Linked DNA regions of Sus scrofa. The protein of the gene in region 2 interacts with the protein of the main gene of each other region in a pairwise test. Links are inferred from orthologs where the notes say so. Each region holds a gene or a part of one and is shown on either strand. Other genes may lie near its edges. The genes, in order: CD82, CREB3, AQP1, ORMDL1, ATP6AP2, SFT2D2 and PTPN9.

What was found.
Region 1: the proteins of CREB3 (region 2) and CD82 interact in a two-hybrid assay, tested with the Homo sapiens proteins (2 studies listed by BioGRID and IntAct). The two-hybrid records come from large-scale screens. The link is inferred for Sus scrofa from reciprocal best matches to the Homo sapiens genes CREB3 and CD82.
Region 3: the proteins of CREB3 (region 2) and AQP1 interact in binary tests that used the Homo sapiens proteins (3 or more experiments, as listed by UniProt). The two-hybrid records come from large-scale screens. The link is inferred for Sus scrofa from reciprocal best matches to the Homo sapiens genes CREB3 and AQP1.
Region 4: the proteins of CREB3 (region 2) and ORMDL1 interact in a two-hybrid assay, tested with the Homo sapiens proteins (2 studies listed by BioGRID and IntAct). The two-hybrid records come from large-scale screens. The link is inferred for Sus scrofa from reciprocal best matches to the Homo sapiens genes CREB3 and ORMDL1.
Region 5: the proteins of CREB3 (region 2) and ATP6AP2 interact in a two-hybrid assay, tested with the Homo sapiens proteins (2 studies listed by BioGRID and IntAct). The two-hybrid records come from large-scale screens. The link is inferred for Sus scrofa from reciprocal best matches to the Homo sapiens genes CREB3 and ATP6AP2.
Region 6: the proteins of CREB3 (region 2) and SFT2D2 interact in a two-hybrid assay, tested with the Homo sapiens proteins (2 studies listed by BioGRID and IntAct). The two-hybrid records come from large-scale screens. The link is inferred for Sus scrofa from reciprocal best matches to the Homo sapiens genes CREB3 and SFT2D2.
Region 7: the proteins of CREB3 (region 2) and PTPN9 interact in a two-hybrid assay, tested with the Homo sapiens proteins (2 studies listed by BioGRID and IntAct). The two-hybrid records come from large-scale screens. The link is inferred for Sus scrofa from reciprocal best matches to the Homo sapiens genes CREB3 and PTPN9.

What each region holds. Positions count from the first base shown.
Region 1 is NC_010444.4:17,800,373-17,804,608, forward strand, and holds the start of CD82 (CD82 antigen), read right to left. Parts: upstream 2,801-4,236; 5' UTR 2,642-2,800; intron 1-2,641. UniProt on the Homo sapiens protein: Structural component of specialized membrane microdomains known as tetraspanin-enriched microdomains (TERMs), which act as platforms for receptor clustering and signaling.
Region 2 is NC_010443.5:236,449,147-236,453,372, forward strand, and holds the start of CREB3 (cyclic AMP-responsive element-binding protein 3), read left to right. Parts: upstream 1-1,426; 5' UTR 1,427-1,894; coding exon 1,895-1,909; exon of another isoform or gene 1,910-2,021; intron 2,022-2,112; coding exon 2,113-2,250; intron 2,251-2,355; coding exon 2,356-2,503; intron 2,504-2,579; coding exon 2,580-2,647; intron 2,648-2,763; coding exon 2,764-2,853; intron 2,854-4,226. UniProt on the Homo sapiens protein: Endoplasmic reticulum (ER)-bound sequence-specific transcription factor that directly binds DNA and activates transcription. Plays a role in the unfolded protein response (UPR), promoting cell survival versus ER stress-induced apoptotic cell death.
Region 3 is NC_010460.4:42,073,942-42,078,049, forward strand, and holds the start of AQP1 (aquaporin-1), read right to left. Parts: upstream 2,801-4,108; 5' UTR 2,611-2,800; coding exon 2,221-2,610; intron 1-2,220. UniProt on the Homo sapiens protein: Forms a water channel that facilitates the transport of water across cell membranes, playing a crucial role in water homeostasis in various tissues.
Region 4 is NC_010457.5:94,374,532-94,378,744, forward strand, and holds the start of ORMDL1 (ORM1-like protein 1), read right to left. Parts: upstream 2,801-4,213; 5' UTR 2,670-2,800; intron 960-2,669; exon of another isoform or gene 779-959; intron 769-778; 5' UTR 762-768; coding exon 588-761; intron 1-587. UniProt on the Homo sapiens protein: Plays an essential role in the homeostatic regulation of sphingolipid de novo biosynthesis by modulating the activity of the serine palmitoyltransferase (SPT) in response to ceramide levels.
Region 5 is NC_010461.5:36,277,654-36,281,153, forward strand, and holds part of ATP6AP2 (renin receptor), read left to right. Parts: coding exon 1-57; intron 58-2,195; coding exon 2,196-2,327; intron 2,328-3,500. UniProt on the Homo sapiens protein: Multifunctional protein which functions as a renin, prorenin cellular receptor and is involved in the assembly of the lysosomal proton-transporting V-type ATPase (V-ATPase) and the acidification of the endo-lysosomal system.
Region 6 is NC_010446.5:82,731,633-82,735,810, reverse strand, and holds the start of SFT2D2 (vesicle transport protein SFT2B), read left to right. Parts: upstream 1-1,378; 5' UTR 1,379-1,447; coding exon 1,448-1,510; intron 1,511-4,178. UniProt on the Homo sapiens protein: May be involved in fusion of retrograde transport vesicles derived from an endocytic compartment with the Golgi complex.
Region 7 is NC_010449.5:58,140,676-58,144,175, reverse strand, and holds part of PTPN9 (tyrosine-protein phosphatase non-receptor type 9), read right to left. Parts: coding exon 3,205-3,500; intron 1-3,204. UniProt on the Homo sapiens protein: Protein-tyrosine phosphatase that could participate in the transfer of hydrophobic ligands or in functions of the Golgi apparatus.

The DNA.
Region 1 (4,236 bases), on a different chromosome or scaffold from region 2:
TTCAGTGGCCTTCACTTTCTAGAAAACGCATCCAAATATCTCACCTTGGCATTCAAGGTCCTCCATGAGTGGAGCCAACCTACCATCCCCCCTTGACATCTCCACCCAGTCCCATCTCTCCAGCCAGACTGAGAAGTTTCTTAAAACTCCCCCGAATATGCTGAGCTCCTCGCCTTCCCCTAGGCATCTTCCTCTGCCCCAGACATGGTCTTTGCCGTGGCTGCTGGAACCTTCGCAATCCTCAAGGTCCATCCCAAACTCCACCACCTCCATGGAGCTTTCGTGAGGATCCCTCTGGCCCTTTCTTCATTTATCTCCTATCAGAGGCACTGGTCTCCTTGTCTAAGCCCCTTACCCGACGGCCGACCACTGGGATGGGGTCAGAGCGTCTGGTCCATCATTCATCATGTGGGCGGGGGGATGGGGGGGAGGACTTTCCAGAAGATGTTTACCAAGCACTGTTTGAAATGAACATCTCCCCACACAGGCAACACCTTCTGACCCCCCTCCCTCCCCACCAGACTGAACTCTAATTAATCTTAAGCCACCCAAATGCTTGGAGAGGGGAGTCTGTGGCCCGTTAATCCAAGCCCAACTGGGACTTCCCAGCTGGGGCAGTAAGTCCTGCTCAAGTCTCACCAACTCCAGGAAGCCCCTTTACCCCAGACCCTGGGTTCTCCAGTGTCTTTCTTCACCTGAGCACCACCCCTCCCATATATACACACGCGCTGTCTCTGCCATACAGTACAGCCTCTGGATCAGACTCTGTCCCATAGAGCTTTCCACCAGGTTCCAAAGTGTAGCACTCACCTCCCCAGGAGATGCAAGGAACGAGCCGCCATTGACGCCCAACCCTGATGGAACAGATAGCAGGTACCTACACTGCCCCTCATCTCCACGCCGAGCCAAGCACGCAATGGAAAAGCTGGATTCGGGCCACCGGAGCAGTCCGAATCCATGAAATCTCATCTGGCCTTGAGCTCTGGGTGTGAGTTATTCTCTCCAGCAGAACACAGTGGGGATGAGGGCCTCACTGTCAGCAACTCAAAATGCAGGCAGAACCTGGGACTGGCTAGTTCACCTCTGTATCCCCTAGCTCCACTTAGTGTCTAGTAAGTGCAAAGTAAACATTTTTGGGGGTTTATTTAACTGGACACCTAACAACTGTAAGAAATATTACTGAAAACTCAGCTACTTGTACACACTCCCCAATCTGCAAATGGACAAAGTGATGCTGGTGGCAAATGGCAAGGTCTGGCTCTCATAAGGTCAGGAGGTGCTGTCACCAGCGTCTGGCCTCCAAACACAGCCTCATTCCCAGGCAAGAAGCCAGCCTATCACCTGCTCATCCACATCAGAGCAGCTGTCATACAGCGAGGCCTCGGTGGGTGCCTCGGAGCCTTGTTAAGCGCTTTACATGTATTCTATTTTTTTTTTTTTTTTTTTTTGCCTTTTCTAGGGCCGCTCCCATGGCATATGGAGGCTCCCAGGCTAGGGGTCCAACTGGAGCTGCAGCAGCTGGCCTACACCAGAGCCACAGCAACACGGGATCTGAGCCACGTCTGCGACCTACACCACAGCTCATGGCAAAGCCGGATCCTTAACCCACTGAGCAAGGCCAGGGATCGAACCTGCAACCTTATGGTTCCTAGTCACATTCGTTAACCACTGTGCCACGATGGGAGCTCCTACATGTATTATTCTATTAAGTCCTCACTACTACCATTGAGTATCATCACTACCCCCACATTACAGATGAGAAAACCGAAGCTTAAAAGGGGAGTGGAATCCAAAGGGCCCGTCCTTGACCACTGAACTAGGCTGCCCAGCTCCTAGGACCCTGGCACAGAGCACCTGCCACCACCAGGGACAGAAACCACCAGCCCAAGGAAGGGACCCAGGGCAAGTAGCAAGAGACATGGCTTCTGGGCTTGACTCTGGGCCCAAAGTTAGGTGGGGTTTTCCCTTGTCTTCCCCACTCACCCAGATAAGAATTTGTCCCCTAGTTTCTGCCGGGGGCCTCCCAAGCCAGCTCACCTGGAAAAGCCCTGGGAAGGGCCAAACACCCGCTGAGTTTCCCACCTCAAGTCTTAGTGGGCTCTCAGAGTTGGGGGGGGAGGGGAGGCTGATATCTCTTTGAATTCAGCCGCCCCCCTCTGCCCCCACTTCCCCAGACCCGTGGGTTTCAAGTCCCATCCGAGGAACTAGTGTGACCTTTAAAGCAATTCGCTTCACTCTTGCAGTGAGTTTGCTTTGCTCCGTGTCACTCTGCAAGGAGACAAACTCTAGTCTGGGCGGCGCGATCTGAAGACCTGTTGTGTCCGCTCTCATCTGCCAGCCTCACCTTCCGGAGTTTCAGTGAGAAAGGTTCACCTGGTTCAATCCCCTCCTTTTACTGGAACCCGAGAGGTCCAGAGCTAGGTGGGGGGACGCGCCCGGGGTCACACAGCTGGTGCACGGCGGAGCCAGAAAACTGGGGGTCAGGACCCGGGAACTTAAGCTCCTTCTCACCCACCAGCTGCCTTCGGGGCCCAACCTGTCACTTGCTCCGAGAAAGCTGCCCGAGCGGCCTCTGGAAGTTGGGGCGAAAACTAACTTTGCTCGCTGTTGCCGACAGGCCTCCCCCCCCTCAGTTTCTCACCTGCTGGCTCTGCTTTTTGCTCGGCGCTGCAAGCCCGGCGTCTCCCGCTCGCGCCCTGGTTAGCGTCTGACCGCGCAGCCCTGGGTTCGGTCTCTTGGTCGTCCCCCTCCCGGCGGTCGTCTGGGAACTCAACGGCCTCGGCCAGCCCCGCCCCTGAAGTGACCACGCCCCTTCGACACGCCCCCTCGGCCTCTGGACGTGGGGACCGCCAGCCCCGCCCCCACACCCTGCAGGAATGTGGCCTGGCACCCGGCCGGATCAGGCCCCGCCCGCTATGGTCTCTCCGCTCTAACCCGCCAGCCCCGCCCCGTGTCCCGCCGGAGGGGGCGGGGGCGGAGCTACACTCCTTGCCCCGCCCCACTACGGCCCCCAAATCGATCCCGGTCTGCCCCGCCCCAGGTCACTCTGGGGAGGGGGCCGACCCCTGGGCCTGCCTCCTGGGCCGGGTCCTCTGTGTTCCTCCGGCTCTGCCTCGATAAAGGCCTGTCTGGCCGGCTCGGCGCTCCACCCCTGCTAGGTGAGAAGCCCCGCTCGCAGCGGGACCTAACGGTCCCGCCCCTCCTAGGCCTGCCTCATCCTTCCCGTCCCTCCCTAGACCCTCCCTCCACCACCCCCACCGCCGAATCCCTCTTCTCTGGGTGTACCCCCGCCCCCTAGGTTGAGGCCACGCCCCAGCAACGCCCCTTCCCCGCTTCAGCGCCTCCCTAATCCTGCCCTGCCCTGGCAACCTTGCTCTGGGCGTGCAGGCCTCCGGGCCTTCACGCTGGCATTCCAGGGCGGGCGTATCCGGGTGCAACCGGGGAACGGCTCGGGAGCGGTTTGCGTTCCAAGTCCCGGCCTCTATCAGGAGGTGGCTTGGACCTAGGCACTTTTTCCAAATACTAACAGCTACCACCGATTGAACTCTCACCAGGGGCCTGCTCTATGCCAAGCCCTGGCTTAGAAAAATAAAAGAACTGGCCACTGAATTCGCACAACTCTATCCCCAAATGTTGCACCTATTTTACTGAGCAACCTGATGCTTAGATAAGGGAAGCCATGGCTTCTGAGTCTCGCATGGATCAGGTAAGCAGGATCCACCCCCTGGCCTTGAATCGTAGGCAAGGCTTGACGCTGCACCAGCTTGCCTGGACTGGCCCCTAGAGCAGTGGCCAGGACCAGCTACTTGTTGGGGCAGTGCTAGCAGACTGCCTGAGGTAAGGGAGGAGGCATAGCTTGAGACAGGGGTGGCAGGAGGGGCACCTGGCCCACTTCTCAGAAGCTGGTTTTCTTCTTGAGAAGAAGGGGCTTAGAATTAGGATGGGCTGCAAAAGGTCTTTGGCTGCGGTGCCCCCACCTGCCTCCTGGCCCTCCACACTCCCAGACCCCAGGGATCAGCCTCTGGTTTCTGCGTTATTCCAGAGCCATTCACCTGTGCAGCTGACAAAGCTCTTTCGCTCCCATTATCTCACCGGCGTCTCATAAGGACGCCATTGTGGGGAAGGTATGATTATGCTGATTTTGCCTGGGTGGGGTAGGGCAGGAAGCTGGACACCAGCCCAGCGAGGTGGTTCCCAAAGCATGGTCCTTGGACCAGCAGCAGCAGCAACACCTGG
Region 2 (4,226 bases):
TAAGATGAACACCACGGGAGTGTTAAAGGCAAGCGGAGTATTCTGAAAGTGGGTATGCATGACGGGTTGGGCGTGAACTGCAGGGCCAGGGAGGAGAGTTGCAGAGGAAGGCTTAGCATCTAGGGAGTGAGGGAACGGGGAGGCAGTAGGACTGAACTCTAGAGGATTAAGCCATCCCCTTCTCCCATGGCAAGCTTCCTTGGCCGGCCTTTCCCTTAACTGACCCACCAGGCCCCTCTCCCCTAGATAGTCCCCCATTTACTATGAAGCCTAGCACATCTCCTGGGTCCCTAACACCTTCCCACCTCCTACCTTGTAAATAACATGGTCCAGGAACCCCTGCCCCTCACCTGTGGTGGCCACAGCAAGAGCCTTGGGCTTAGAGAGTACAATGCAGCTGGAATCCCAGATGCCTGCAATTCTAGCTGAAGCTCAGAACCCTACCCTGTAATCAGTTTATCATTTCTCTGCGCCAAAGAAGCCCCCACGGCGACAGAGAAACAAGAGCCCTCCCTGCAAAAAAAAAAAAAAAAAAAAAAAAGAGCACCTGCCAATCTCTTAAATTTTACCTGCCTGAGGTCACCTACCCTGACCTCAGCCTATAACCCCTAAAACTGTCCTTAGTTCCCAACATTAACCCCGATCCCAATTTGTCTCCTGATGCCCAATACTGGCTTTAACATTCAGCTCTTTCCCAGCAGACACTTGAATCCAATCCCTGATCCCTAATTTTGATCTAAATTTTACCTTTAGCACCAAATCCCAACCTTACCCCTAGAGCTTGACCCCTGAACCTAAAGATCATGTGTCACTTGATTCCTGAGTCACTCCTTCCCCGTTTTACCCCTAACACTGGCTATGCCAACGGTCTCTAATGCCTAAAACTGGATCTCGAGCGCCGTTCCTGCTGCTGACCCTTAACCCGACCCTGGACTCTAACTCTGGCTTAGGCTGACCATCCTAGAACACAAAATAATGTCCTTAATCCAAACTTTACCTACCCAAAACGGACCTGACTCACGCTCATAACTCGAAATTTAAACCCCTAAAGCTAACCTTGGCTCCTAAACCCAATACCACCTAATCCCCAACCCACCCAGGGCGCTCCTACCCACATACCCGCCATCAGCCAACCTCAAAGCCGATCCCCGCCCTGCGTCGCACTGCCACCCACTCTTCACCCTCCCCCAAACCTATCCCAGACAGGGGGCTGCTCCCAGCAAGGGAGCAGAAAAGCCTCCCGCAAAAAGGCCTCTTGAACTCCCAGCCCAAGCCGAGAGACACTGGACGCTGACCTCTCCAACAGGACCCGAAACAGGAGACGCAGTCAAGTCAGGGGCCCCGCCCGCCTCCCGGGCCCGGCCTTGCGGCCCCACCCTGAGGCCCCGCTCGCGGCAGACCGGCCTACCTGCGCTGCCCGGCTCTGCGCCCCGCCCGCCGGCCCGCTAACCCGCTCGTTCTCCCGGTGGCTCTCGGGCTCCGGCCTCGCCCTCCCTTCGACACTCTCGGCCACTTCCGTCCGGGAACGTCCCCCGCCCGCGGGCGGCGCCCTGGGCCCGCGCTCTATGGTTGCGGGGACCGCAGGAAGCTGCTCTGGCCCCAGATCTCGATGCTCAGGAGCCGGCCGAAGACCCGCAGCCCCTCCCCGGCAGGAAGCGAGGGTGCGGCGCAATCCCAAGAAGACGCCCGAGCTGGGCCCGAGGTCCCGGTTGCGCGGTAGTCCTTCCTTTTCCTAGCCCGGGGCGAAGGCGGAGGCGGAGGCGGAGGCGGCTCGCCGGAATGCCCGCCCTCGGGGAGTGAGGGGCTGGCAAGGACGTCCCCTCTATTTGCATAGTGCCCGGGACGTGGCGTGCACCAAGGCCACTTCCGCGTCCGGGGAACTCCAAGTCCCGGGATGCCTCAGGGCTCGGTGCGTCACTTGTGTGGTGTTGGAAGTGGCTAAGACTCAGGCTGGGAGGCGGGTCGGGTTTGTGAGCCACCTCCGGCATCCAGGAGGAAAACCCCGCTTGCGGAGCCCATAGGTGTGGCCCACTGACGATCGGTGGGAGTCGTGCGTGGGGTTGGGAGTTGACTCCGGGTGTACTTCTGTGTTTCTGCTCATCCTTTCCGTAGATGTCTCATATGGAGCTGGGGTTGGACTCGGGTGACGATGACTTGCTGGGCTTCCTGTTAGAGGAAAGCGGAGGTCTGGGGGCGGCGCGGGACGAAGCCTTGGAGGCGCCCCTGGATTGGGAGCTACCACTTTCCGAGGTGGGGGGGGGCTCTGAGTCCGGGAGGCCCCGGGCGGGATGGAGGGGTGTCTCTGAGGCAGGGGGTGGTGATCAGTCAAAGTCTGTTAATCTGAACCCTGGGCAGGCATTGAGCGATTGGGACGTAGAGGATTTCCTGAGCTGCCTGTCGAGTCCCCCAGCATCGTTGACCGATTTTAGCCACTCTGACCCCTATCTTGTCCACCATGATCACACCTATTCCCTGTCACAGGAGTATGTCTCCATAGATCTAGGTGAGTCTGATAGAGGTGAAGTTTGGGGGAGGGGAGGGGACTATGGACCTGGCTGTTTATACTTTCCCTCTTGCAGATAATGAGGATTATGAGAAGGAAGGGGCCCAAATGACTTCCCTGCGTGTGGAGGCGCCCGCAGAGCAGGTAACTTGACTTGGTTTACAGGACGATTATTCCCACATTGACCGGGTTGGGGCAGGAGTCCGAATTTCTCTCTGACACCCTCTTGCACCTGTGCTGCCCACCTCTTGGAACCCCAGGAGATTGGTGAGCTGATACTGACGGAGGAGGAGAAGAGGCTTTTGGAGAAGGAGGGGCTTACTCTGCCCGGGACACTTCCTCTCACTAAGGTAAGACTCCCATTCGAGGAGCAAAGACTGGATGCAGGGGTTAAGTCCCTAGTAGGCTGACTCTGTTAATTTTATATCAGTAACTTGAGAAAGGACTGAGGCGAGATGCTGAGTCCAGCTTCGCAGGTAAGGGCTGAGGAACGGGTGCTGTAAAACTTGAGAAAAAGTTAGCATAAAACAAGACACAGAGACATTTATCTTAATTGCGGGTGGGAACTGGGGGACTCAAGGTCTCAGGGACCAAGAGCAGTGCCTCAAGAAACCACACTGCTTTTATTGTGCTCTTTAGGATTACATCAAGTGAGGAGGGGGTTGTAGGTGCAGGACATAGTTCTTTTATTATTTTAAAAGTCACATAGCTGGTAGCTGGTTAAGCTTTTATTCTGACCTTTAGGCATTAACAATCACTAGCATTGAAGAAGCTGGATATTAGCTCTCTGTGCATAGCACCTAGAGAATTATCATTGTGCTTCCACAGACAGCATGCCTATCTGCTGCAACCTGGCATGCCTAGGTTTGTACCTCCTTGCTGATGCATATTCTGCTAACGACCGCTCATAAACCCCCTGGGGCCTTGAGGCGCCTCTTCCTCTTATTTTAACAGGACGTATCATGCTGTGCAAACTGCATGCCTAGACCAACGCATTATGTCCTCATTCAGCTGACCACGTGAATACTTATGCCTTTTGGTCTTTGTTCTTAAGCTTAAATTATTTACTAGCATGGTGACTGTTTTTCAAGCTGGAATATGGGGTTAAGTAAAGCAGGACAAAATGGAATTTTCAGCATAGAAAATAGAAGCAAAGAGGCTAAGAAAAGATTGTAGAAACACGTCTCCTGACAGCGAGAGATTGGCACGTTTGTTGTTTGTAGGAAGCTGTAGTTAATATGCTGGATGCCGGGGCAGATCCTGGTTTTTGTAGGGCTTGTACAAACTTTGGTGTTCTCTTTAAGTAAGAATTCAAAATCATTAGTGTAATATTGGTATAGGGATTTGCAAAGTACTGTGGGAACAGGGGGGTCCTGACACTTAGATTTCACTAGTTTTACACTAATCCACCTATGGCTGAATGGTTAAGTTTTAGAATTCATCAAGGCTGGACTAAGGAGTATAACAAAAATAAATGTAAAATCCTGAGTTTTGCTTCAAGCAATGAGTGGCAGCTTCACATGTGCGGTATTGTGATACTATGATGAAATCAATATTTACTGATAGAAAGATAAAGAGACTTTAATTTCTTAAAAGTACAGTAGTGTGATATGACTACTAAGAGTGAATAGGCCTGGAGTTCCCGTAGTGGCGCAGTGGTTAATGACTCTGACTAGGAACCATGAGGTTGCAGGTTCGATCCCTGCCCTTGCTCAGTGGGTTA
Region 3 (4,108 bases), on a different chromosome or scaffold from region 2:
CGGGAGCCCTTGGCGGGGATGCTTTCTCTGTTTGTGCCCTGCCAGACCCCAAACTTCCACGGTGTGGACAGGGCTGCCCTGGGTCCCGCCACAGTGCTCAGTGCCCTTATGCTTAGCACGGCCCCTCTTGGGCTCCCCTTAGCCAGACCGCCCTGGGAAGAGTGATAAACTCAAGACCTAGAGTGAGCATGCTGGTACTACACATGTGGCCAGGAGATATCCAGAGACCCAGGTCCCCTCTTGGAGCCTCAGGGCTCTCAGCCTCGGGGAAACCCAACAAGCTGGTAGGATCCAGGACTTGAGTCTAGGCTGGGCCCCACACGATGCTGTCCCTTTTTCTCCCCCATCTGCCACCCGCCTGGCTCAGGTATTGGGGCAACTCTGGAAAATGAAGGCCAGAGAGGGGACGGGACACTGGAGGAGGGCGTGGCCAGATCAAGATGACACAGAGGAGCCCGCCCTCCCACGTCTGCCTGGGATGGCCAGCTTAGAGACACCTGCCTGCCTGGTCCTTGAGACAGAGGGTCAAGAGGGGGCCGAGAGGCCTGGGAGACTCAGCTTCCCACCAGGAGGACCCTATCCCCACGCCCATCCTGCCCAGCTAAGCCCCAAGGTGATCCCAACCCTACCCGGCGGGCCCTCCCCGATGTTGCCCGGCTCTGCCCCCGCTGGAGAGATAGACCTGGAGGGACGCAGCCTGCTGGAGCTCTGTCCCTCACAGCCACCATGCCCACCTCTTTCTCGACTAAAGTCTAAACTCCAGTCTACAGGGCTAATCTTCAACCCCGGGTTGGGTGAGGTGTCACTGTGGCACAAGAAGTGCTAATCCCTCCATGGCAGGCTCATGCCAGCTGCCCTCCGCACCGGAGCTGGCCAAGCCTCCCCGAGCCGCAGCACCAGGAGCTGAACTTTGACTGGGAAGCAAGAGCTGCTTCTCTGATCACCCCCTGCGGTCTCTGCAGGGCTCTTGGCCCCTCTCTTACTGTCCCCACACCCGCCTGCCCTGCCCAGGCCCTGCCAGCCGACACCCCACCTGATCCCTTCTCTCTGCTCCCTGGCCTCGCTCCCTCCCTGTGGCAACGCCCCCTCGGCTGCGGTGTTCTAAGACCTCCTCCAAGCCCTACCCAGACTCTCAGGCCAAATCTCCCCCTGCTGTGGCCCAAGCCAGGTCTGAGTTTGCACTTGGCTGAAGGTCTGGAAAAGCCCAGGTCTGCGACAGCAGGCAACTGCCGCCAACAGCCAATTAGCTGTGCTAAGCGGCCCAGGAGGAATTCTTTTCTGCAGCTGCCGCTGGGTCACCCACATCTGCTTATCCTGAGTGCCCCCAGGCCGGGCCCCATTTAGTCTGAGAGCGGTGGGCACACGCAGGCACATACTCGCCCCCACACATGCCTGCCCAGCAGTATAACGGGCTCACAGACACAGACACGCTTCCAAAAAAGACTCACACAGGAGTGCCCAGGTTCCATGGGCTCGGAGACCCATGAGGGTGGCCATCCATGCGCGTACACGGCTCACACCCACCCACACACCACACCTCTCAGTGCCCGGCCACCGCGAATGGACCCAGAGAGGGGGTGAGAGGGCCCTGCCCCGCCCCTGCCCCTTGCTGTAATCCAAGAAAACCGCCTGCACACTGTCCAGACAGGGTTTTCACCCCCATCTTTGTCCCCCACCTGGGGCCAGAAGAGCAAGAGGAGCTTTTTCCTTCAAGGCAGTTGGTTTGGGGACCTGTGCGAATGTGGGGCTGCTGGAGCAGCCCCAGGGGAGTCCTGCTCACACTGTCACGGACCCACACACATGCCCGGCCTGTGGTGCAGGGAGGCGGGGGACAGCAGACAGAGTTTCCCTGGGGTCCAGGCCGCATGGGGAGGCAGCTGCTGCACAGGGAGGGCTTGGGGTGGAAGGGAGCAAGAAACCAGGGTGAGGAGCTGCTGGCCCAACCACTAGCTGCCTCCAGAGCTTATTTCCCATAATAGAGGCCCGCAGGGGACACTGGCAAGACCATTACGCTCTGGGTCTCCGTGTCCCACAGTGCCTGGAAGAAAAAGGGCTCTGGACCCAGGCACAGCTGAGTTCCAGGTCAACTGAGCATGACCTCCAGCAACCTCTCGTCCTCTCTGTTCCTCAGTATCCCCATCTGCACAGTGGGCAGAGGATGAAACCGGCGGCATCTCAGCACCATTCTAGAGCCCCGGCGCCTGGGACCACCCCACTCACCGAGTTCAGGCCAAGGGAGTTGCCGGGCAGGGAGGAGGTGATGCCTGAGAGGATGGCAGTGGCGACGATGGCCCCCACACACTGGGCAATGATGTACATGACAGCCCGGAGGACACTGATCTGGCAGCTGAGCAGGAGCCCCAGCGTGACGGCCGGGTTGAGGTGGGCGCCGCTGATGTGGCCCACGCTCTGGGCCAGCGTGGCAATGCTCAGCCCAAAGGCCAGCGACACCTTCACGTTATCCTGGGCCGCACCTGAAGTCTGGTTGTTCCTCACGGGGTACTGGAAGCCCAGGGCAGAACCGATGCTGATGAAGATGAAGAGGGTCATGGCCAGGAACTCGGCCACCACCGCCCTCCAGAAGATCTTCTTCTTGAACTCGCTGGCCATGTTGGCAGGGGGCTTGGCTTGAGACGGCTGCCTGGTGCTCGCCTCTCTCTGAGAGCTGAGCCACAGCCGGGGCTGGGCCTATTTATAGGGCCCCCCCGGGGGGGGGGAGCACAAAGGGAGGAAGGCCTCTCCTTGCTCCTGGCCCGCCCCACACTGCACGGGCCTCCTCTCAGCGATGGATGCAGACACAGCTCTGCTGTCGGCCTGCCAACTTTTTTTCCCTTCCTCCTCTCTCCCCTCCCTCCCTCTCTCCCTCCGCCCTCAGCCCTGCCCAGCTCGAGGAGGCAGGCAGGAGGCAGCGTTTCTCTAATAGGCTTTGAGAAATTCCTCCAAGTTGGCCCCACTCAGGGGGCCAGAGAAATCCAGGTGTCCCTGCCCTGTGTGCAAAGCGCAGGGGGTGCCCGAGGGCAAAGCCAGGCGCTCCGGATGGGGCGGGTGAGCGGCTAGGTTCAGCAGGTGGACGTTGCCCTCCTAGAGGCGGGCACCATGACCCTGCTGGTCTGCCATCCCCATCCAACCCCAGAGAGGCCTGAGTCTGGAGTCCACAGGTCCAGGGGTCCCCAGCGGCAGTCTGCGCCTCCCATACCTGGCCACTAAATGTCACCATAGGAATGTCCCAGAACCCTCAGACCACCGGCCAGGCCTCAGTTGATGGGGACACAGAGGCATCAGGGGGTACAGAGAGCTCATCTACAGACCACCCCCCACTCTGTGGTCCAGGGCAGGCCTGAGACAGGCTAGGATGCTCCCTACTCTGATTTGAGCGAATGATCTTGCGGCAGCTGGGGAAGATGAGGGCAGGCAAGGACTTTCCTCTCGAAGCCTATGAAGCTGGTGGACCACTGGGGAGACAGGAGGAAGGGCAACCTGACCGGAAAGCCCCGGAGGGAAAGGGGAGGAGAGAAAGGGGGAAGAGAGGTGGGAGCACGAAAGGGAGAGGAAGAGACACCGGGGCCCAGAGGGGAAGAGGCAAAGGAGGCAACGAGAGGCAGAGAGACAGAGGGAGGAGGAAGGACAGTGGGATGTGGAATCAGCCGAAGCAGAAGTGAAAGGAACAGATCCCCAAACAGTGATAGGGAGACACTGGGGACTGAGAAGGAGAGACAGAGACAGCACAAAGCGCGAAAGACCACTGGAAAGAGGGGACACAGGACTGGACCCAGAGGTGAGAATCCAGAAGAGCAAGAGGAGAGAGCAGAGGGGAAAGGGGAGGGACCGGACACTGCCTGGGGCAGGGGGAGGGAAGAGGCAGCTCTAAAGACCATGCCCGCCCCCCACCCCGCCCCATAGTCCAGCCTTGCGCCAAAGCCAGAGGCCCAGCGGCAGCCAGTGAACTGAGCAGGAACCTGGACTCCTGGGCCGGAGGCTGGTCAGGAACCCCAGGCCCAGGCCACCAGGCTGCTGCAGTGCGTCTGCGGGGAAGAGGAGCCAGGCAGGGCCCTGGGGGCAAAGCTGCCCCAGGAGGGAGGGGCCTCCCTGGTCCTCTCCTCCGGTCTCC
Region 4 (4,213 bases), on a different chromosome or scaffold from region 2:
TAAATGGGCAAATTTTATCTTATACCTCAATCAAACCGTTTTTCAAAAACTGAGTCGTGTCTTTCTTCTTTATAACATAAAACTTTAAGCTTTTTAAAAAACTGTGTTTAAATACACATAACAGGATTTCCCATTGTGGCTCAGTGAGTTAAGGACCGATGAAGTCTCTGTGAGGAAGCAAGTTTTATTCCTGGCCTAGCTCAGTGGATTAAGGATCTGGCTGTAGCAAGCTGCAGCATAGGTTGGAGATGCAGCTCGGATCTGGTGTTGCTATGGATGTAGTGTAAGCCTCAGCTGCAGCTCTGATTCGACCCCTAGCCTAGGAACGTCCATATGCCACAGGAGTGGGCTATAAAAAGAAAAAAATAAATATATTTAAATAAAAATGTACCATCTTAAGCATTTTTAAGTGTGCAGTTCAATGGTATTAAAAACATCCACATTTTTATGCAACCATCCACCTCCAGAACTTTTTTCATCTTACAAAACTGTATCCATTAAATAACTGCCTGTTCCATCCACACAGTCCCTGAAAAAACTACTAAACCTTAAGGTTTTAAGTGCTTAGTATAAAGTGAAATTCTTACCAGATTATGTATAACATTTGTTAAGGTCCAAGCAACAGGAACACTGAAGAAGGGAATGCTAAGTAAAACGATATGAAGCAAGCCAACTCCCAATGCATATGTCAGCCACATACCCCGGCTGTTCATTACCCGGGTATTTGGATTTACCTCGCTGTGGGCAACTCCAACATTCATATTTGCTCTGCAGGAAAGCAATGAGATGAATCAACACTGATATATAATTGTAAATCTGAACACTCCTAATTCTGACCTGACAAAATACGTGTTACTGACATTATTTTTTCTCTTTATTGTTCTGAACTAGAACAAACAGATGTACAAAATATGCTACTTGGAGATGCTGACGAATAACTCTAAATATTTGACTTTAAGGTAAGACAAAATTTATTTTTAAAGTTCTTGTTGAAAAAAATAAACAGTTAAAATCCCTTTCCTAAAACTCATCTCCTAGCATGTTGGTTTTACTAAATGAAATAATGGGTAGGAAAACTCAAACTGAAGATAAGACCTATATTTTCTTATATCATGAGAGCAAAGTGAAAGGAAGTAAATTTACCAGCAGAATACACTAATATAAAAAAAACTGAATACACTAATATAAAAAAAAGCTGACCCAACCAGTCTGAATAGCCAGACACTCACATCTAATATAATACTATATTCATAAAGAGTAGCCAGAGATCAAATCACTCCTTTATGAATACTGAGAAGGATGAGGAGGAAATTTTACAGGGTCAAGGGGTAAGGTTTGTTTCTCAATCTCGTGACAGAATTAGGTTAAAACAAGTATTCCACATATTTTAACTCTGTTAATTTCTCTAAAACTCTGGTTTTCTTTCTTTCACGAATTGTTTTTATTCTACACATTTTAATTATAGTTAATTTTTCTAAAGCTTTGGTTTTCTTTTCTTCCTTCCTTTCCCCCCTCCCTCCTTCCCTTCTTTCTGAGATTTGGGGACAAGGGGAAGCAGAGCTACATTATACTTGGAACAGCGCTGATTTAAAAATATATAAACTCTTTTCAGAGTTCCAGTAGTGGTGCAGCAGAAACAAACTGGACTAGGAACCATGAGGTTGCCGGTTCGATCCCTGGCTTCGCTCAGTGGGTTAAGGATTCAGCGTTGCCCTGAGCTGTGGTGTAGGTCAGAGACACGGCTGGGATCCTGCCTTGCTGTGGTGTAGGCAGGCAACTGTAGCTCTGATTGGGCCCCTAGCCAGGGAACCTCCATATGCCGCGGGTGCAGCCCTAAAAAGAAAAAAAAAAAAGTACATAAACTCTTTTCTATTACGTAATTAGCAGTGGGAGAGGAATTTCTCATAACTCCATCCAACAAGCATTTCTGAAGAGTTCATTGTCCATTTCTCCCTCCAAAAACATATAGGCTTACGGTAATGAAAGTTGGTTATGCTAAAACGAAACAAAAAAAGTCTCAATTTAAATGTGTAAACATTGGTTCTAATCTAAATATCCATCGTGTATCATAGCTTACTTTTATATGCTGTGAGTTCTACTTAGAAAATGTCGCCACTCAAAATGCTTTTCCCACTTTAAACAGGATAGCACTAAAAAAAAGATGCTCGAAAGAGGCTTAAAATTTAGATTTGAGCTGGAAGGCAAAAACTGACCCAACCCTATCCCAGAAAACCTTTTCTGGGAGTCTGCCGCGCCACTTCAGGACTAACAATGACTTCACAGAGTAAAGAAGACCTATAGGTGTCTGAAGACCAGGGACCCGCAGCGACCCCTTTGAGGAGCCTCCCGCCCGCCCGCCCGCCCGCCAGTCTCAAGCAGCCCTCCACCGGCGGCTGGAGCCCCCGGCCGGTGGAAGTTCAGCAAAAGCGGCTGCTGCTACTGCCACAGCGCCCCACCCCCGCCCCTTTCTTCTCCGAGCGGCACATCCAGTCAGGGCCCGGACCGGGACTGGGGGGCAACCCTGGAAGCCACTTGGTCCGCACAGCCACACAGGGTGCCGCGAACGAAGCCGGAGTCCACTTTTTTCCTTAAAGCCGACCCAGGCGCGCCAGCAGCTCCCAGTGCCACAGGCAGCAGCACAGCCTCGGCGGCCGTTCATTCCCACTCACCCGCCGCACTCTTGGGCGGCCGGCTCAGAGACGTAAGAAGTCCGCGGCAGCGGCGGCGTCTCCTCCGGCCGAATGCTTGTGGTCAGCCTCCGCGCAGCGGCGCGTGGGGCGGCGCAGCTTGCGAAAGCTTTCAGAACAGAACGCGCTGCCACCGGATTGGTTGAGGGCGGTGCCACTCCCACGTTCGCCCGGCAGGGCGGGACTAAAGGCACGGCGCTTGGAGCCCGCCACGCCGCGCGCCCGCTGGGGCTGAGTCGTAGAACCGCGGGGCCGGGGCTGGGCTCCTGCTGGGACGGTGCCAGGACCGCTCTTGGATTGTTAATTGCCCACCTTGAACGAGTAAGAAGGTAGTGTGGTGTGGCTAAGGGGCATCCAATCTTATATGGTCGTAGGCGCGAGAGCCTCCTACCCTCAACTTGTCCCGGTCGGGGCGAGAGCGCTGGCGGCAGCCATGGGTGACCCCTCCTCCCCTCAAGGGGCGGGAAGCGGATGAAGACGGGACCGCGGGCGCGCACACGTGGAAAGCGGTTTCCGTTCAGGTGTGGGCCCCTTAGTGCTTGGTTTGGCATTTCTTGACTAAATCGTGTTTAGGCCTTTGTTGCAGCCCATTCCACAGATCCCTCTGGCAGTAGGTCTCAAAGTTGTTTGCCAGGCAGAAACTTTACTCCCTCAAAGCCATAACAGCCTGTCTTATGAGTGAGTGTGACGTTTTTATAATGTTGTATGTTGTGGCATCATGCAAGTGGGGAAAGCAAACTTTTCAGTTAAGCATAATTTTTACTGGTGTTCTGGGTCTGTCTACATGCTGAACACAGGTCCTTGTTGTATATGCTGAGGAAATGTGGGTACCAAGAATTGATCCTTTTCGAGAATGGGGAGGAAAAAAAATCAGATTATTTGGCATCATGTTTGAAATCTAATTTTATTACCTTGTCAGTACAGCTTTCAACAACATCTCAAAATTGTTGTCAGACAATGTTGACTGTATATATCTTGCTTTTTTTTTTTTTTTTTTTGTCTTTTTCTAGGGTCGCTCCCACGGCATGTGGAGGTTCCCAGGCTAGGGGTCTCATTGGAACTGTAGCTGCCGGCCTCCGCCACAGCCCCAGCAACGCGGGGTCCCTTCCTCGCCTGCAACCCACACCACAGCTCGGGGCAACGCCGGATTCTTAACCCACTGAACAAGGCCAGGGATCGCACCGGCAACCCTGTGGTTCCTAGTGGGATTGGTTAACCGCCGAGCCAACACAGGAACTCCTATCGGTTCTGTGAAACCGATTGGGTTAGATTTATTATGTTCTTTAAATAAATTGTTTCATTATATTCTACTTAAAGTCTATGACTCTGATCTCTACTTCTTTTTAGGTTCACTGTTCTTAACTGATTTTCCTGATCATCAACACTCTTTCAGCAAATATGGAAGATTGATTCCTGACATTCTTAAACATTCTGTGCTGTGACTCCTAAGCCTTCCGCTTTTCAAAATATACCATTTGATACACATACAGTAGAATGCTTGTTATGTTCCAGAGGTCATGCTAGAG
Region 5 (3,500 bases), on a different chromosome or scaffold from region 2:
CCAGGAGAGCGAATCCCAGACGTGGCTGCATTATCCATGGGCTTCTCTGTCAAAGAAGTATGTGTATTTTTCAAAAATATTTGGAGCTGATTCCGAATGCATTTTTGTTGATTTCTGCCCAAGAAAGCAACGGGCAAACATAGATTCAGATTACAGAAGTAAAAAAGCTAATTTGTAGTCAGGGAGATTTTGGATAAGTTTTCCAAGCTTGGTTATGAAAACAAATCATTATAAAACATTAACCATGTAATCATTTATTCATAGTAGTGACACTGTGTGTGTAAGAGAATGCATCTGTCCTATTGTTAATAGGTTGTACAGTTTTATTGGTTTTTTTCCAGTATGCATGATAGATTTGTGTCTTAGTTCAGGCTGCTATTACAAAGTATTCGAGACCGGGTGCTTTATAAACAACAGACATTTATTTCTCACAGTCCTTGGGGCTGGAATTCCAAGAGCAAAGTGCCAGCTTGGTAGGGTTCCGGTGGAGGCCCTCTCCGGGTTGCAGGCTGCCAACTTCTTGCTGTACCCTCGCAGGTGGAGAGAGCCTGAGAGAGCCCTCTGGAGTCCCCTTTATAAGGGCTCTGTTCCCATCCCTAAGGCCCCTCTCCTAATACCATCATGTTGTGGGGGTGGGGGTATAATTTCAACATAGGAGTTTTCAGGGGACACAAACATGCAGTTCATTACAGTTTGTTATGAATGATAAAATGTATATGCATCTTACCTGAGTTTAGGGAAAGGGTGTGGTCAGCAGCTGTGGGTAGCTTAGGACCTTGGTTTCCCACAATTCAGCCGTAAACTGTTGTGGTAGGGAGTTGTTCTGGCTCAGTGGTAACGAACCCGACTAGTATCCAAGAGGATGTGGGTTCGATCCCTGGTCTTGCTCAGTGGGTGAAGGATCTGGCGTTGCCTTGAGCTGTGGTATGTATAGGTTGCAGACACGGCTCGTTTCCTGCGTTGCTGTGGTGTAAGCCAGCAGCTACAGCTCTGATTCGACCCCTGGCCTGGGAACCTCCATATGCCACAGCTGCAGCCCTAAAAAGCAAAAAAAAAAAAGAAGAAAAAAACCTGTAGTAACTGGCTGCTTACATGATTATAGACCAGTCAGCATGAGAGACCTTGAAGCTCAGAGCTGGAAGAAAGGAGACGGGGTTTGTTCTGTCTTCCTATCTCCTCCCACGTTAAAGTTCGGTGCTTTTGAGGGGGTTTCTAGATATCATCAGTCACTCAAAAGAACATTCTTCCTAGGTCCTGAGTGCCCTTGAAGCCAGAAGCAATGCCTGGGAACTGCTTCTCTGCTGGGCCTTTGGGTGGAGCCCCTGAGCTCCTTGCCTGAACCTGACCAACTGTTTACATTAAGGATGAAATTTGTACCTGGTTCTTGACCAACTTAAATTTGACTACAACTGGCGGTCAGAAATAATTATTAATAAACTGCTATGAGTTACTTTCAGCAAGAATTTTGTTCTCCTCATAAAGAGCCTAATCTAAAGAGAATGTTTCTATTTTTTTTGTCTTTTTTTTTTTTTTTTTTTTAGGGCTGCACCCACAGCATATGGAGGTTCCCAGGCTAGGGGTCCAATCGGAGCTATGGCTACCGGCCTGCACCACAGCCACAGCCACACCAGATCTAAGCCACATCTGCGACCTACACCACAGCTCACGGCAACGCCGGATCCTTAACCCCCTGAGCGAGGCCAGGGATCGAACCCACAACCTCATGGTTCCTAGTCGGATTCGTTTCCGCTGCGCCATGACAGGAACTCCTGAAGAGAATGTTTTAATGTCAGTCTTGCTGTGTCACTGTGAAGGAGAAAAGCGGTGCTGTAGATAAGGGCAAAGAATGATGCGAGGGAAGAAAATGTCCATGGAGAAGGGAATGTTTTGTAATCTGGAATTTGAAAAGTATCTACATTTTGTTTACTTGTCTGCTTTTTTTTTTCCCATAGAAGGTTTGAGATGATTTATTAGACTTTATTGTTTCAAGTTTATAGAAGCTTAATAAGAAAATAAAGGTAGAAATCAGCATCCTCAATTAGGAGGTTGCAGCTCCTGCCTTAAATGAGACGTTTGCTGTCCCTGTGGGTTTTCAGTGTCATCCCAGACCCCTTAATGCTGCTTGGTAGGTGTTATTGGGGAAGTGGTTTCCTGAGTTGACAATTAAGCACAGTTTCATGCTTTTCAACCTGTAGGACCTTTCTTGGCCGGGCCTTGCAGTGGGTAACCTGTTCCACCGTCCTCGGGCTACCGTGATGGTGATGGTGAAGGGAGTGGACAAGCTCGCTCTACCCCCAGGCAGCGTCATTTCATACCCTTTGGAGAATGTGAGTATTTGTTCTAAAGGATTAAAGGGATGCATTTAAAATTGTGTCTTGTCAGCTGTCATTATGGATCATGTTCTAAAGCATACTTTTTGTCTTTTTTTTATGCACTGATAAGTAAAATACAATTTTTTTTTGATTATGTGATGGTTGTAAAGGTATTGAGACTTGGCTGTTTCCTCTGGCTGAGCATACTTTCTGAGGTAAGAGGTAGAGAAAATGCCCTACTCAGAATGGTCAGAGGCTTGAAAAAGAGAAATCAGTTGAAGGGTATACCCTGCTAACATTTTCTTAGGCATTATTTCATCACTTTGCTTTCAGAATTTTATCCTTTTTGTGCAAGAAGGAGACTGGAGGCCATTTTGCTGGCTCACTTATTTCTTCACTGGCCTTTGAGGCAGTAAGGCTGACTGAGCTGTTGTGAGAGGCCCTCCTTCCACTGTAGGTGGATAGAAAGACATCTTCACATGTACCACTAAACTTGAAAGCAGGGAGGGGGGACACACAGGTGGCAGATATGAATAGAAGATTGAAATCCACAGTGGTGAGCAGGAGCCGAAGGTGAAATTGTGTTCCCTGCAGGAAAGCAGGGGCTCTCAATGCTGTTTTGTTCTTGAAAGGAGGACTGTCAAAACCTCAGCTGTCCCTGGGCTACCTTAGAGGAGCTGGGTGGCCACCCCTGGTTGTGGGACCCAAAGAGGCCTCTAAGAGAAGTTGTAACTCTGGGCTTGTGCTGTGCAGCATCTGGTGCTCCAGATTCACACAGCCCACCCCACACAGACACTTCCACAGCCCAGGGCTCCTTTGCTAAAGAAAAGAATTGAAGAGGAACTGAGTTTACCAAACACTTGAAGGAAAAAAAATGCCACAAGAAAGTCATCAGGCGCAATAGACAGAATTCATCCCCCTAGAACTACAGATAATAATCCAGTCTCTAAAAGAAATGTGAAAATACATATATTAAAGTTGTGAAAGAGTTAAAAGGGAGGGATAGGAACTACAGGCAGTTAAAAGAGTTTTTGATATGTTGGTGCTTTCATTGATACTCACTTGAATATTTTGTAATTTATATTGATTTCTTTAACCCATGAGTTATTTAGAAATGTTGTAACATATGGGTTCTTGCAAAATTTTTGATTTTTCAGCTTCTCATTTCATTGCATTGTAAGACTGGTC
Region 6 (4,178 bases), on a different chromosome or scaffold from region 2:
GTAGTTATTTAAATTCACTCAAGTCTGACACAGCACTCCTACTCTTTCAATAAAAGTTCTCCCTTGTGTGTGTGTGTGAGTGAGAGAGAGAGAGAGAGAGAGAGAGAGAGAGAGAGAGAGACAGACTGCAGGAAGATTCTCTAGTGGGTGCTCCTGGTAACCTCTCTGTGGATTTGTTTTTCTAAGCTTATTTCATCTTTTTTTTTCTTTTTTATGGTTGCACCTGCAGCCTATGGAAGTTCCTGGGCTAGGGGTTAAATCAGAGCTGCAGCTGCTAGTCTACACCACAGCCACAGCAATGCTGGATCTGAGCCCCATCTGCAACCTGCTCTGCAGCTTGTAGCAATGATGGAATCCTTAACCTACTCAGCAAGGCCCGAGATTGAACCCCATCCTCACAGAGACAATGTCAGGTCCTTAACTCGCTGAGTCACAACAGGAGCTCCTAAGCTTATTTCACCTTGAAGTTATTTTCCCAGATATTCCCCAGCAAGCAGTTTGAGATGTGAGCCCACATCCCATCTCTAGCACTTTCCTGGGAGTTACATGGATTCTCCAACGTAGAATCATTAGCGTTGGAATCCGGTTTGAGGTCAGTAAAACAAACAATCCAAGAAACACAAAACAATCTAATATGTTTTTCCTCACTCCTTGACTCAAGTTCTACCTGTTCAAGTTTTTACCCAAATCATTCTTCTTGATGCATTCCCAGCTAGAATTACAGTAGTATTTTTCTTGTTTAACTTTTACACAAAGTATGTTATAGATATGATTTACTCCAGTTGGCCTCAAATGCTTTTTTTTCCCCCAGCTGCACGGGAGGCATGCAGAAGTTCCCCGGGCCAAGTATTGAACGGTGCCACAGCAGTGCGCGGCAGTGACAAGGCTGGATACTTAACCAGCTGAGCCACCAAGGAACACAAGTGCCTTTTAAACAGTTATTTCCAGTGTAACTACAATCAGACCGCGGATTTCCCACATCGTTTGTTTACAAATCTGCATCCATACCACAGGAAGTGTGGGGCGAGAGGAGAGGGGGTCCAGGATTCACCGTTTTTGTTTCTGCAGTGTCTCGCACGTGCTAGGGCCTCCGTGTTTGTTGACTGAACCTACGAGTACCCCGGCAGGGTAGCCGGCTCGCATGCGCAGCCTGGCGCCGGACTGAAGTTTAATCATGCTGGGTGGACCTGAAACCCAACCTTCCTTCCCGACCCGCCTTCCAAGACCCAAACCAGCCGGGTAAAAGCGGGCGGGGCGAAGGCGGGCGCAGAGCTCGCCGGGCGCCTGCGCTGGCAGCCGCCAGGAGGGCAGATACCTGGGCGGGGCGCACCGTGGTGGGCCGGGCGCACCATGGTTGGCGGGGGCGGGGCACACGGAAGAGCCTGCGCCTCAATCAGCTCAACAGGTGGCTGGCGAGTGGCTGGGGCCGGGGTGGACCGGACCTGCCATGGACAAGCTGAAGAAGGTGCTGAGCGGGCAGGACGCCGAGGACCGGGGCGGTCTGTCCGAGGTGAGTGCGCCGCCCTCAGGCCGCGCCTACTTGGCCCCGTAGCTGCCGCCCCCCGCCCGGGTCTCCGTGGGCCTGGGAGGGCGCTGGGGCCTGGGTGTCCAACAGACACCGGAGCCCCGCCTCCAGCTACTTGGGCGCCTGTTGCTGACTAGTGGGAAAGGTGAGCAGGACTTCCAAGATTTCTTGGAAAACAGCTCTGCCCCTGTTCCTTCCTCCTCCCTTACAGGGCTCAGGACCCCCGCGCTTCCCCGACTCTCCATCTGTCAAGTGCTGGGGCCCAGACACTTTGAGAAGGGCGGTGGGCACCTTTTTTGTTCCGGATCCCTTCAGCCTTGTGCCGCGTCCCATTCCCCTTCGCCTCTCCTGCTCCCTCAAAGGGAGGGCCGCGCTGGAGCAAAACCTAGAAACATCTGCAAAGGGGAGGGTGACCATCCCCGACCGTCAGCCCCATCCCTACTGGCATGGGAAAGGGCTTTAGGGCTGGGCTAGCCAGGGTCTCCTGGCAGCCTGGCGGAGAGAGTCCTCATTGGGTAGAAACCTGGACTGGGGGCCCAGGTGGCCATCCATCCCTGCTCGGTACCCACTGCGCGACGGGGCTTGTGGCCACGCCCCGGTGCTGCTCCTGGCTGCCTTCCTGCCCAGTTTAGGTTGTGGGTTGTGACTTTCCCAGCCGACCTTGGGCCTCTTCTTTAAGTTAACTATCTCCGGGAGAACCATGAATTCTTGGAGGGCAGGGCCCACATCTTGCTTCTCTGTGCACACGCTGCTTGCACATAGACCCCAAGGCCGCCCAGGACCATAGTGTGGCCGCTTGCAGGCTTGTTTGTTTTTATCAGAAAGGTTTGGTGGAGCTGAAGCCTGAGTACTAAATGCCCTATGTTCTAGAGCCACGCAGAATATTTATTTTCTATTTCTAGTGCTTTCGGCTTTGGTTATTTATTTATTTTCCTTTGTAAATTATAAAGTGACATGTATCTTTACTCTGGTGTATTCCTTGGGGCCTCAGTTTCCTTATCTGTAAAATGAAGAGGTTGAACAAGATGGCTTCTTTCAACTCATAACCTAAGTTTCTCCTCCAGTTTTCATCAGTGTCTCTAGTAGTTATCTCAGCATGCTTCTTTCACCCCCTTTTGGGGTTGCTGATTTTTTTCTGAGTTTTGTGTAACTCTGATACCTCCACCCCTTCCATGAACTCTCAGAACCCTAAAACGTGCTCTCTTGACTCTTCTCCTTGAAGAGGTAACACTGTAGGCATTGAGGGTTGTAGGAATTGGAGTTTAACTTCTTTTGACATTTTAAAACAGCCTGTGGATTCTTTTAAATCTGTTGCCTTTATTAATTGGTCAAGGCTCAGGAGTAATTTCTTGAGTTCCTTGTTCTTGGTTTTTGGCTTCTGTTATGAACTCAGGAGCCAAACCTCAGATTGTGCCTAAGAAAACTTAGGTGGCCAACAGTTATGCTTATCTAAAGCTTTCTGCTGCATGAACGGTCCATAAGATTTTAGAGCAGCTGTGGTTCAAGAGGGAGCTGTTTTGGAGTTCCCGTCGTGGCGCAGTGGTTAACGAATCCAACTAGGAACCATGAGGTTGCGGGTTCGGTCCCTGCCCTTGCTCAGTGGGTTAAAGATCCGGCGTTGCCGTGAGCTGTGGTGTAGGTTGCAGATGCGGCTGGGATCCCGCGTTGCTGTGGCTCTGGCGTAGGCCAGTGGCTACAGCTCCGATTCGACCCCTAGCCTGGGAACCTCCATATGCCGCGGGAGCAGCCCAAGAAATAGCAAAAAAAAAAAAAAGAGGGAGCTGTTTTTCTGAGGATTCTGGGGTTGGGGAGGAGTTCAAAGGTGGGGATGATGCAGATACTGTGATTCAAAAAATCATCATGAAGTGGTAGATAGACTCTACGAGTGAATGATGTAGTACAGATTGAAAACATAAATGCTGAGTTTGGTTTTACGTGAAATGGTGAATGCTTTGTGTTGGACACAATGAAGGGCTTTGAAGTGTAAGCTCGGGAATGTATTAAATATATTTTAGAAAGACTAGGTGGTTCTTTCATGTTCTAAAACACTGCTGTTGGTTTCCTCTTTCTGAGTATGAGATTCCTGTGTATGTACATCATTGTGTGGCACTTCGTGAGACCCCAGCTCCCAGGAAGCATTTCATGACCAGCTGAATTCACTCTCAGGGTTGTTTTTTGGCTTAGTGTTTATTTATTAAGTCAGGGCCTCCTTGAAAATGTTGGTAATGACTTGATTGTCTCACATTTCCCATAGTTTTAAGGTTGGCAAAGCTGGAGGATTCTATTGAAATTTCTATTTTGGGTGGGAAGTTGGATTGGGGGGGGTGCTTAAAGTCTTTTCACATTCAATTTTAAAAGCTGTCAGACGTCACCAGAAGTGATTGCTTTAAAAAATTGTTGTTCTTTCTTTTTTTTTTTTTTGGCCATGCCCACAGCACGTGGAAGTTCCTGGGCCAGGAATTGAAGCTGCACCACAGCAACAACCTGAGTCACTACAGTGACAACCCTGGATCCTGCTGCACCACAAGGGAACTCCATGAAAAATTGTTCTTCTTTTAATGCAAACAATAAAAGTATGACTAGTTCTGTTTCTCCTGCATATGAAACTAGGGAATTATAAAACTTGCTTGGCAATGTCTAGTCACAGATGGCC
Region 7 (3,500 bases), on a different chromosome or scaffold from region 2:
AAACAGTGACTACATCCTCACCAGGATGAAATGGTGAGGATGAAAATGGATCATTCATACACTGCTGGGAAGGATGCAGAATGGTACAGTTGGGCAGTTTTTCATAAAACTAAACAGTTACTGTATGACCTAGAAATCCCACTCTTGGACATTTATCCCTGAGAAATGGAAACTTATTTTCACACAAAACCTAGACACAAATATTCATAGCAGCTCTATTTATAATAGCCAGAGACTGGAAACAACCCAGATGTTCTCTAACAGGTAAACAGTAAACAAAATATAGTACACCCATACTATGGAATATTACTCAGCAATTAAAAGGAACAAACTTTGATAATAATAACAACCTGGGGCACTCTCCAGAGAATTGCACTGTGTGAAAAAAAGGCAATCCCCAAAGGTTACATACAGTATGATCGCATGTATATAATAACATTCTTAAAATGGCAAAATTATAGTAATGGAGAACTGATTAGTGGTTGCCAATGGTTAGGGATGAGGAGGGGTGGAATGGAGGTATTTGGTTATGGAATTCTACATTTTGATGGTGGTTTTCTTTTGCTTTTTTGTTTATGTTTGTTCCTTGATTCGATTTTTAGGGCCACAGGTGCGGCATATGGAAGTTCCCAGGCTAAGGGTTAAATCAGAGCTACAGGTGCTGGCCTACATCACAGCCATAGCAACATAGGATCCTAGCTGCGTCTGTGACCTACACTACAGCTTACAGCAACGCTGGATCCTTAACCCACTGAGTGAGGATGGAACCCGCATCCTCATGGATACTAGTTGGATTCATTTTCGCTGAGCCACGACAGGAACTCCCTTGGTGGTGGTTTTTTATACACAAACTTATGCATGTGATAAAAATTGCAAAGAACTAAATACACACACACAAACTAAAACTAGGGATATCTGGAAAACGTTGGTGGACTGTTGTTGGCTGTGATATTATACAAAACTTTTGGAAGATATTACCATGGGATAAATGTGGAAAGGCTACAAATGATCTCTCTGTATTATTTCTTATAAATGTATGTGAATCTATAATTATCTCATTATAAAAAGTTAAGCTATAAAAAAAATAATTTGAAAGAATGGTGTAGGGGGGGAAAAAGTCTCTTAGTCCACGGGCATCCTGGACAACGGTGAATACTCTGACATGTACTCTAAAATCTAGAATTCCAGTGGAAACATTCTGTTCTGTGTATGTATTTCTACTGGAACTTGGTGAAAGACAGAAGCCTGAAGCTGTTGAAGATTCTGGATTCTAACTCCTGAAGTGGAATGTTTCCATTCATATACTTGAATAAAACTGTAAAAAAATAAAAAAGAAATAAAGAGGCAGATGTTCCCTTTGGCACAAGTTAAGGATCCAGCATTGCCGCAGCTGTGTAGCAGGTCACAACTGAAGCATGGGTTGGATCCCTAGCCTGGGAACTTCTACATGCTGTGGCATGACTAAGTAAATAAATAAGACAGACTGGGAAGTTCTTCCCATAGGACTGGGATGTATTCTCTGATTATAACACGATAGCTGGCTTGAGTGATGCAGAGGACAATTCAAACCCACTTTTTTTTTTCCAGCTATACCTGAAGCATGCAAAAGTTCCCAGGCCAGGATGGAATCCATGCCACAGCAGTAACTAAAGGCACATCAGTGAGAACCCTGGATCCTTACCCCACTGAGCCACCAGGGAACTCCTCCAAACCTACTTTTGTAACAGGGGGTAAGGGGAATTGTGGTAGAAGTGACACCTCAAGGACCCCTCTGCAGGAGCACCTAGAGCAGGTCAGGAATCCCCAGGATAAGTGTGCATCCTCTGCTACAGCTAGGAAAAAGCTTTAGATGCATATAGGGGTGTTGAGTTGGTAAGGAAGACACAGTTGTGTGGGAGAAGAGACTATTCTCCCCACATGATATATGCTCTGCTCTCTTTTTTCTCTATTTCCTCTCCATTATTCTTCTGCTTATTGATTTTTTTCCCTCAGTTGCTTCTTTTATTTCCTTTACCTACTTCCTATCTCATTATTTTTCCTCTTTACTCACTCCCTGCATATCTTCTTTACAGCACACTGACTAAACTGGATATGAATTTTAAGGGGAGGAGTTCCTGTTGTGGCTCAGTGGTTCATGAACCCGACTAGCAACCATGAGGAAGCAGGTTCAATCCCTGGCCTCGCTCAGTGCGTTAAGGATCTGGCGTTGCCGTGAGTTGCGGTGTAGGGCACAGACATGGCTCGGATCTTGTGTTTCTGTGGCTGTGGCAAAGGCCGGCAGCTGTAGCTCTGATTAGACCTCTATCCTGGGAACCTCCATATGCCAAGGGTGAGGCCCTAAAAAAAAAAGCCAAAAAAAAAAAAAAAAAAGAATTTTAAGGGGAAAAAGGTACCACAGAATCATTACTCCTAAAACATTAAAGCTACAAAAGAGTAAGTGGATATCAGTGAGTCTAATATCAAATACAACAGGTAAACGGAGGTACAAAGAAGGGAAATACCCTGGGTAAGTCATCGGGGGAGCTCTGGCTAAGCTGAAACTTGAGCCTAGGACCAATTGGGGAGAGATTCCTTAATTTTCAACAAACAGATCTTAAAACTTTAAAGAAAAAAAAAAAATTCTGCTGCAGCCAATGAAAACATGCTAAGATAAAGGAGAGTAGCAGTTAAAAATGATCAATGCTCTACTGCCAATAATAATTGTCAAGTAGTTATAAATCAGTTACAGAATTTAGGTAGAAGGAAAATCCCACAATACAAATTCCTAAAGACAACTCTTCTCTCTTACTGAGAGTGGATTATTTTAAATGTATCAGCACCCCTCCTTACAAAGTGATGTAATACTAAAAATGCTCTAGGGAGAAACTGCCCAAGTGAAAGGACCAGAGATCACACAAGGACAAGAATAGATAATCTACCTTTTTGATCCTAGGTCAGGAAAATATCAAAAATGTTTCCATTGGTACAGAGTTACTGCTGGTACCAAAGACTTCCAGAAATTTCAGAGCACAGGCTCTTGGCAACAAGCACAAAGAGGTGCCTCTTTCTAGATGAGAGAAACCATCATCTAAGTGAGAGGGATGCTCCTTAACATCACTTTACGGAAGAGTCTCTTTTAAGGAGGTGAGGTGTGGAAGGAATTGTGCCAATGCATGCCAGAAGCACCCTGGCAAGTGATCACTGGCCTAAATCTTCTCTACTTACATGGAACAGTGGAAAGTGCCAACAGGGTTCTCACGACGGATGTCTTCATACTCTTCATATATACCCCGCTTCTGCCTGGTACTAACATAGTCCATCAACTCCTGGATGGTCATGGCATGGGGATCTGGAACATGCACTGAGTCCCAGTCTAAGGCTGGCGGGAGGGAGAATAGGATGATCTCATCAAAGGGATCTGGGTGGCCATTCATCTGGGATAGAAACTGGAAATTCCAAGTGGCAAGGTCGATTTTGACATATCCACCCAGGTTTTCTGGAAGGCACTCCCTGGGAAGGTG